Linked DNA regions of Xenopus tropicalis. The main gene of each other region encodes a partner of the protein of the gene in region 2 in a complex. Links are inferred from orthologs where the notes say so. Each region holds a gene or a part of one and is shown on either strand. Other genes may lie near its edges.

The links. The genes of interacting proteins can lie anywhere in the genome.
Region 1: the proteins of cftr (region 2) and ywhab are in contact, whole or in part, in a crystal structure (PDB 6HEP), measured with the Homo sapiens proteins. The link is inferred for Xenopus tropicalis from reciprocal best matches to the Homo sapiens genes CFTR and YWHAB. Residues at the interface, in NP_000483.3 of Homo sapiens: Arg764, Arg765, Arg766, Gln767, Ser768, Val769, Leu770, Asn771, Leu772, Met773; in NP_003395.1 of Homo sapiens: Arg43, Asn44, Ser47, Val48, Lys51, Arg58, Arg62, Phe119, Lys122, Arg129, Tyr130, Glu133, His166, Pro167, Ile168, Gly171, Leu174, Asn175, Val178, Glu182, Ile219, Leu222, Asp225, Asn226, Leu229, Trp230.

The regions. Positions count from the first base shown.
Region 1 is NC_030686.2:12,511,898-12,516,079, reverse strand, and holds the start of ywhab (14-3-3 protein beta/alpha), read right to left. Parts: upstream 3,125-4,182; 5' UTR 3,037-3,124; intron 1-3,036. UniProt on the Homo sapiens protein: Adapter protein implicated in the regulation of a large spectrum of both general and specialized signaling pathways. Binds to a large number of partners, usually by recognition of a phosphoserine or phosphothreonine motif.
Region 2 is NC_030679.2:68,497,388-68,501,525, reverse strand, and holds the start of cftr (cystic fibrosis transmembrane conductance regulator), read right to left. Parts: upstream 2,936-4,138; 5' UTR 2,790-2,935; coding exon 2,737-2,789; intron 1-2,736. UniProt on the Homo sapiens protein: Epithelial ion channel that plays an important role in the regulation of epithelial ion and water transport and fluid homeostasis. Mediates the transport of chloride ions across the cell membrane.

The DNA.
Region 1 (4,182 bases), on a different chromosome or scaffold from region 2:
TTCTTGTGTCACACACATGCAGCACACTGCCACCCACTGGCCTGCCTCGGAACTGGAGGCTCGGATCAAAGGTAATTAGCAATATTGGCTGTGAAAGGATTTTCTACAATGTCATGTATGCAATTAACAGCCGAGCTTCTTGGTGCAAGGAGGCTATAGACAACCCGGCACAAAGGATCCGTACAAACAAGCTAAGCACATTTTCTAATGAGAAGGGTATGCAGAGCAAATATGCAACCACAGTGCTAATCCTGAGTAAAAGAAAAAAGCAATTAAAACGTTAGAAGAATTTAAAAAAAAAAATGTTTTGTTGGCATAAACTCTGCTGGTACATAGAATGCAATGCAGCACTCCAGAACCAAACTGCTTAATCATGGCAAGGCACACTGGGCAGAACGTTTATATTCTCACTCTAAACGTGCCATTATTAATTATTCATATAGCCAAGCATGCCTTTGTTTGATAGACTTTTGAGATAGACTTCTGATTTTTTAAGAGCTGTACACATGAAATATGGATGGGAGTCATAGCAGGATTAAAGGCAGCTTGTCAGGGATCAATACTGACCATCAGCTGAATAAGGAGCCAAGAAATGTATTGATTAAGCGCGGCTTAGGGGCTACATGGGAGATCAGGAAATGTGTGTATAGATTGGCAGACCTTTTCCTATATGGCTGTATATCATCTCACTATATGGGCATATACTCATATCTCTAGATGGATAAATTGGAACAGGTATAGGATCCCTTTAACCCAAAACCCGTTATCCAAAAACCTACGAATTACAGGAAGAGCATCTCCCATAGAGCACATTATAAGTAAATAATTCAAATGTATTTTACCGAGATCCCTTTCTTCTGTATTAAATAGTACTGTGTACTTGATGGGAACTAAGCTAAAATTCTACTGGGTTTATTTAATGGTTAAACTATTTTTTAGCAGGCCTCAAGGTATGGTGACCCAAATAATGGAAAGATCCATTATCTGCAAAGCCAGATAAGTGCCAACTTTATTTAGGAAATACCAACTACCTTCTAGTGGCTGAATGATAAGCCCAAGGGCCCACAGCAACCCTTTGTTATACAGGTATGGGACCTGTTATCCAGAATGCTTAGGACCTGGGGTTTTCCGGATAAGGGATCATTCTGTAATTTGGATCTCCACAATTTAAGTTAAATCATTTAAATATTGGATAAACCCAATGGGTTTGTTTTGCCTCCAGAAAGAATTAATTATATCTTAGTTGGGATCAAGTACAGGTGCTGTTTTATTATTACAGAGAAAAGGGAATCATTTAACCATGAAATAAACCCAATAGTGCTGTTCTGCCCCAATAAGGGGTAATTATATCTTAGTTGGGATCAAGTACAGGTACTGTTTTATTATTACAGAGAAAAGGGAATCATTTAACCATTAAATAAACCCAATAGGGCTGTTCTGCCCCCAATAAGGGGTAATTATATCTTAGTTGGGATCAAGTACAGGTACTGTTTTATTATTACAGAGAAAAGGGAATCATTTAACCATGAAATAAACCCAATAGGGCTGTTCTGCCCCCAATAAGGGGTAATTATATCTTAGTTGGGATCAAGTACAGGTACTGTTTTATTATTACAGAGAAAAGGGAATCATTTAACCATTAAATAAACCCAATAGGGCTGTTCTGCCCCCAATAAGGGGTAATTATATCTTAGTTGGGATCAAGTACAGGTACTGTTTTATTATTACAGAGAAAAGGGAATCATTTAACCATTAAATAAACCCAATAGGGCTGTTCTGCCCCAATAAGGGGTAATTATATCTTAGTTGGGATCAAGTACAGGTACTGTTTTATTATTACATTATTTGCTTATAATGAAGTCTATGGGAGATGGCATTTATGTAATTCGGAACTTTCTGGATAATGGGTTTCCGGATAAGGGATCCCATACCTGTACAAGGATGTTGCTAGTTGCAGTGCTATCTTGTAGATTGTAAGCTCTTTTGGGCAGGGCTCTCTTCACCTCTTGTATCAGTTATTGATTGCTTTATATGTTACTCTGTATGTCCAATGTATGTAACCCACTTATTGTACAGCGCTGCGGAATATGTTGGCGCTTTATAAATAAATGTTAATGTAATGTACAACTATAGATGACATTCTTGGTTTGCATGACAATTTAGCTACCGGATTCAGTAATTGGGATCTAGTGTATGTGAACTGTAGCCCTCAGGCTGCCTAGAAAGTGTAGATAATGATAAATAGGCCTGCATATAGATCAGGGCTTGGAAAGGCTACAAATAAACACCCCATAGAGTTGCTGATCCTGTATAATTGTAGATATCCCCAAATGGAGCATTTGTTTCCCTGATTTGCCACTTCCTGCTGCTGCAGAAATAAAGAGATCACTTCCTGATTGATATTATGAAACACATTGTATATGTATATGAAACCTATTGTATATAAGGTGTGTGCTGGCTGTATACACTCTTCTGCAGCGAATTACAGGGGACTATCTTGGTGCTTTTTCAGTATTGCGGTATTGCTTTGTGACACTATACAAGCATCTGGCCACTAGGTGTCGCTGTTTCAATGACGTCTATAGGTTAAATGAGATATTGCCTACAAAAAGCTTTGGGGCACCGGCAACGAATGACATTAAGGGGTAAAAAAAAAATAATCAATAATGTGCGGTTATAGGTTTTCCATAACAAAGAAAAAAAGTCTATTAATTATATACGTATTTTCCATTTAACAGGGAAAGCATGTAACGGGAAATGCTGGGAGCTGTGTAAGGGCAGGGCTGGGGATAATACGGCTGACAGGGTCGGAAAGAGGCCTACGGATCGGGCGAGGTTACCCTGCGCATCGGAGGGTGTGGGGTACTAAGGGGGCCCCAATGGGGAAAGCGAGCGGATGTTGAGCCCCAGGCGCTGGGGAAAGGGATCCAGGCCGCGCACAGATCCCCGCCCTTGTAAGGAGCGACCCCATAGGCGGCTATAGAATGGCCGCCATCTCCCACACGAATGCACTACGCTCTCTGCCATCGCACGTACCTCAAAAATCCGCGACCTGCCAATAGATTCAGTAATTCGACCCGGGCTAGCTCAGCTTCCCTCACCGTTCTCCTCCTCTCCTGCAGATTCACTGGCCGTTCCACTTCCGTTCCAGCCGCCACTTCCGCTTCCTTCAAGCCCCGCCTCCAAGCCCCTCCCCTCCACCTTTCTCCTTCAGTTCTAAACTCCTGACAGTACAACAAGCACTGGCGGCTTCACTGGAGGGAGGGGAGAAGCGGGGTGACCTCATCGTTTCCTCGGCAACGGGGAGATGACGTCAACCGTCTTAGCAGGAGGGGTGGGAGGAAGCGCGTCTGGGCGGGAAGGGGAGGCAAGTGTCAGCTTGTAGGGGGTTTGAGGCGACACTTTGCGGGGCTTTTGGGCAGAAATCAGGGGGATTAAGCTGCCCTGACACAGTTATGAGTATTATTGAGTTTCTCAATCGTGGGGTATACAGAATGTGTTATTGTGCATTCTGTGGGGAATGAAGGCGTCTAACCTGCTGCAGTCTCCATTTTGTCGTCCGCTTATCTTTCCCCACCCCCTTTGAAAAAAAAAAAAAATCTAGCTTATTCAATTTCAATAAAATGGTGTTGTGAAAATAATCAATGAACTGCTTCGATAAAGCAATAGTTTGGGCGATTGTAACGTGTGCTTCGGGACCTTTGCTGTCAGGCTGACCGAGTGGCCTACACCATTGTCCCTTTGCCTCTAGGGCCCCTGTACAGCCTCATACCGGCCTAGTGATATTGTATTTGTTTCAGAAGCTGCTGGCTGCCTGTGGCCCTTCAAGCTGCAATTATTCTACAGGGGACCCTTGGCACACTGACCTGCAGTTAAAAAAAATATACCACATGTTTAAAGGAAAAGAAACACCAAAAATGAAATTGTTTTAAAGTAATAAAAATATTACATATACAGAAACCCTACTATAGTTTATATAAATACCCTGCTGTGTAGCCCCGGGGGCAGCCATTCCTGCACTGGTACAGCTGGGGTGTTTGCTACAGAAACCCTACTATAGTTTATATAAATACCCTGCTGTGTAGCCCCGGGGGCAGCCATTCCTGCACTGGTACAGCTGGGGTGTTTGCTACAGAAACCCTACTATAGTTTATATAAATACCCCGCTGTGTAGCCCCGGGG
Region 2 (4,138 bases):
TGAATGAGTAGCTGGAAGGTGCCTCCACAGGTGCTATGGTAAATGTAAAAGATTCAGGGTAGGGGGCTTCCTCTCCATCTCTTTTCATACTTTAATTAATGGATATCAATACCTGGAAATACAATGTTGCCACACAGTAGAGTCACCATCTGAGGTGTTTTTAAAATAATAATCATAAAAATACTTCAGCTTGTTTGAAACGCAAGGGATACATTTCTTATGGTAGGAATGATGCAATATGAAAGCATGTGTATTTCTAGATCTGTAAACACTTTCTGGGTCAATAAAAAAAACTAAATTGTACATAACAAGTGTCTATTGGTCTGATGTTAATTTGATTATCACAAGGGTAATGATTAGCCTGGTCTATTAGCCTATTGAAGATGGTGGCCCCTGGGCAAGTAAACTCCCAGTATATGATTCTGTAACAATCAGGCTTTATAAGATGTAAGAAAGCATGATATATACATTGATACACCTCTCTTAGCCATTGCTCTGTGAAAGGGATTTGAGTCAACATTGGTTATTGGAATTTTTTAGGAGTCTACTCTTATAGAGACTTTGTTAGTAAAACACATGTTGAATTGCATTTACATTTTTCACAGTGCACTTTCTTTGTAAATAAGCCCTAATGGGCCACATGGAGAAAGGGGATTGAATTTACAAACTGGTTGTGACTAGGGGTATAGGACAACAAATTCTGCATTGGGGCCAATGTGCCTTTCATTACAACAATGCTATTAGTTTTTGTTTCTTACTCTCAGTTAACTGCTATGCTCCTTTATTGCCTAATAGCCTATGGCTATGTCTATGTAGTATGCACCGCTGTTTACAAATCACGCAAACTACAGTTTAACAAACAGACATAAACAGCTTGCTGCAATTGTCTTTTTATTTTGTATTTCAACAGCTTCAGTGACAAATGACCTTTTAGTCCATTTCCAAATATTTGTTGGCCTAAAATGATTTGCATTGACACTCAATTTTCTATATAATTCTAATTTATCTTAATAATTTTGCTGGATGTCATTTCTTTTTATAAAATGTTACTCTGCATACACACCCACATACACATGGTTGAATGAAATTAGAATAGGTGTCCCATTTAGCTGGCTCTGATGAATTTTGTAAAAGGTTAAACTGGCAGATTTTTAGGTAAATATGCAGAAAAAAATGGAGCACTAAAAATACAATTCCACAAAATCTGAGTTATTTCATGTAACTCGTGGAGTTAGAAATATAAGATCAAAATCAAAGTCCTTATTCCATTAAATGATAAGGTTATTCATTCTTTGCTTCAAATATGGTCACACAATAAACATCATAAGGCAGGTCTGTGCTATTTTGGTATTAAGCTTCCTTGTTTAAAGGTGATGTGTGGTAAGGCTAAGCACACCTGTTGTCCTCTGAAAATTCCAATTTCGCAAGCCAAGGCAAATGCACATAAAGGATTTTTGAGCCCAAATCCCATAACAATCAGAACAGCACAACTAATACAAGGACATGAATAAATCCAGCTGCCTGTTATGAAAATAAACTACCAGGATGGATAGAAATAATAAAGCCACTGTTATGGGACACACAAATCTTTAGCAATACCCTATCATACAATGAATTCTATTCAAATACTGGAATAACAGTGCACCTACACTGTTTTTTGCTAACAGCTCCTGCTGCTTGACCCCTGCAGTCACTATTTGATTAAATAACAAGATTATCCTTTCAGCCATGTTAATATTACAATGTGCCTTGCCTGTAAAAAATTTTGAGACATTTTAGTAGATGAGTAACAAGATTCCTGCTAACATGCTTTGTAAAACACATAGGTATATCTAGTAGCATGTCAGAGAACGACGCAGAATGTGTTCTTCAATACAGTACGTTTTATGCCTTGAAGTGCTGCTTACAATCTTTTATGTTATGGTGCATGCTATAAAAACCACCCAAAGCTAATCAAAAAACCATTTAGTGGTAGTTAACCTTAAAATTAACTTTTATATGGCATAGATAACAGTAATCTAAGGCAATTTGCAACTGGTATTCATAGATTTTTAATTATTTAAATATTTGGTTCTTCAACTTTTAATTGCCTGCTAGGGGTTAATATACTTAGCAACCAAAGTGAAGTTTTGAAATCAAAATGGAAAATGACAAAGTGATGGTCTAAACACAAAAGTAAGCAATATAGTTGCTGAGGTCAGTGACCCTGATAATCAGATTGTATTTTCAAATGGAGGCTAAGCCAAAAGGTTAGCTAGAATAGCAAATGTAATAATTAAAAAAACAATACTGAAGATCCTTTGAATCCACACAAAAAGTCAACGTAAAATTAACTTTCCCTTTGTAATGCAAACAGACGTAAACTGGTTGGGGCTACTGTAAGTGTGAAAGATAGGGTATATTACTGACAATTGTCTTGTAGTCATCTTTAGCTAATACAAGCAGTGCAGAAATATTTGCCATTGGATCTGTATTTGTGCAGGCTAAATGAAGCAAGTACAAGCAGTAAAAGTCCAAAATGCCAGCAACTGATTTATTAATCAGAGTGTTTGTTTTTTGTCCAGGGTAATAAAGATACTGCTAAATCAGGATCCTGAATGTAGAAGCTTTGAATGTTCCTGGCCTAAACTCATCAGCACCATACCATGGCACTGCACCCCACCAGAGTTAGAATGTCTCTGCCATTATTCTCTGTGCCAGTCAGTAACAGGTTAGCACAGGTATGAAGGAACTTACCTAAAGAAAATCTGTGAAAAGATGCTGGCTTTCTCCAGAGGGGATCTCTGCATGGTGACACAGTGCTGCCAGCTGCAGGCTTCTTGGCACAGTAATGTCACTCTGTCACCACTCTCGCACCTTATTCCCTCAGCCTGGTGAAGTCACTCCCTCCTTGACTCTGCCCAGGCACAGAGAGAGCCCAGCCTTTCATTCCTTCCTTCTGCTTTTCTCTCATTCTCCCTCTCCCCTCCCTTTCTCCGTTTAGGTAACAAAAAGGGGTGTGCTTGTGCTGCAAACAGAATGTGTTCTTTTAATAAGCTGAATTGTTTTCTCACAATCAGTACTGCTAAACCTCTATCATTAAGTGCATCGTATACAACATATTAAAAGCAATTCTGTACATACACAAGGAGTATATTATATATAATGTGCTCCTGCTGGCAGGATTTCTATATTTAAATAGATATCAGTTTTGTAGTCACCCCAGTGCTCCTGTCAGATGCTTCTCCCCTTCATGTGTAACAGAAATGCTGGCTATATCAACTTATTGAGAACATAAAGGTTGGGAGCACTAAGTACAGCAGGCTTGCAGCACTTCTATGCCGTGTTTGCCCCTGCCTTGTTTTTAATGTCACCAACATGAATTAACCCATGAATACTTAAGAAAACTGTCTCCCATCAGACCTTAGGGGAGTTGCAGACTTGTGTGCTGATGAAAGGTAGATCTGGTCTTTCCCTACTATTTTGGTCATTAACCTCTGGTGCTTGCACTTTATATTGCTTGAGCATAAGCAACAGTTACCTGCCCACAGAACTTATTAGTGAGGAGTATGACAATGTTCAGTATACAGAGCGAATCAAATCAGTCTCCTATGCAACCTATAAAAGTGTTGCTGCAAAAAACGTTACTTTAAGATGCAATGACCTTAGGAACGAACATAAAGGGTTTCCTGCTAAGCAATGCATTGTTACATAGTTATCTTTTACTGCACTATGCATTGCCCAGTTAATGAAGGAATGTGGGTTTGGATACTTTGGGCGAGATTACATTCCATGAGAAAGATTTATCTCTTTATTCTGTTCTAGTTTTCACCACAGAAAGAAAGGGAATTAAATTTGAAGGTAGTGTCATTCTATACAATTTTCCAATAGAATAAAAAACTGACATTTATTTTAAATGTAAACTTACAGAACATGCTAAGAATAGGGGGCTATAAGGCGTCAATTTTGCTTACTACTGACTGTTGTGAGCAAAGTACAATTTCAAGCACAATCGCCATGTCCCATAATGCCTTTTTTCCCAGAATTCCAGCATGGTTGCACACACCAGTAGATCTGACACAGCTGTGGCCAGTACATCAAAATTACTGCAATTACACTTAATTGCAAATCAGTCTCAATTGCACCAGGGCCTGGTTGA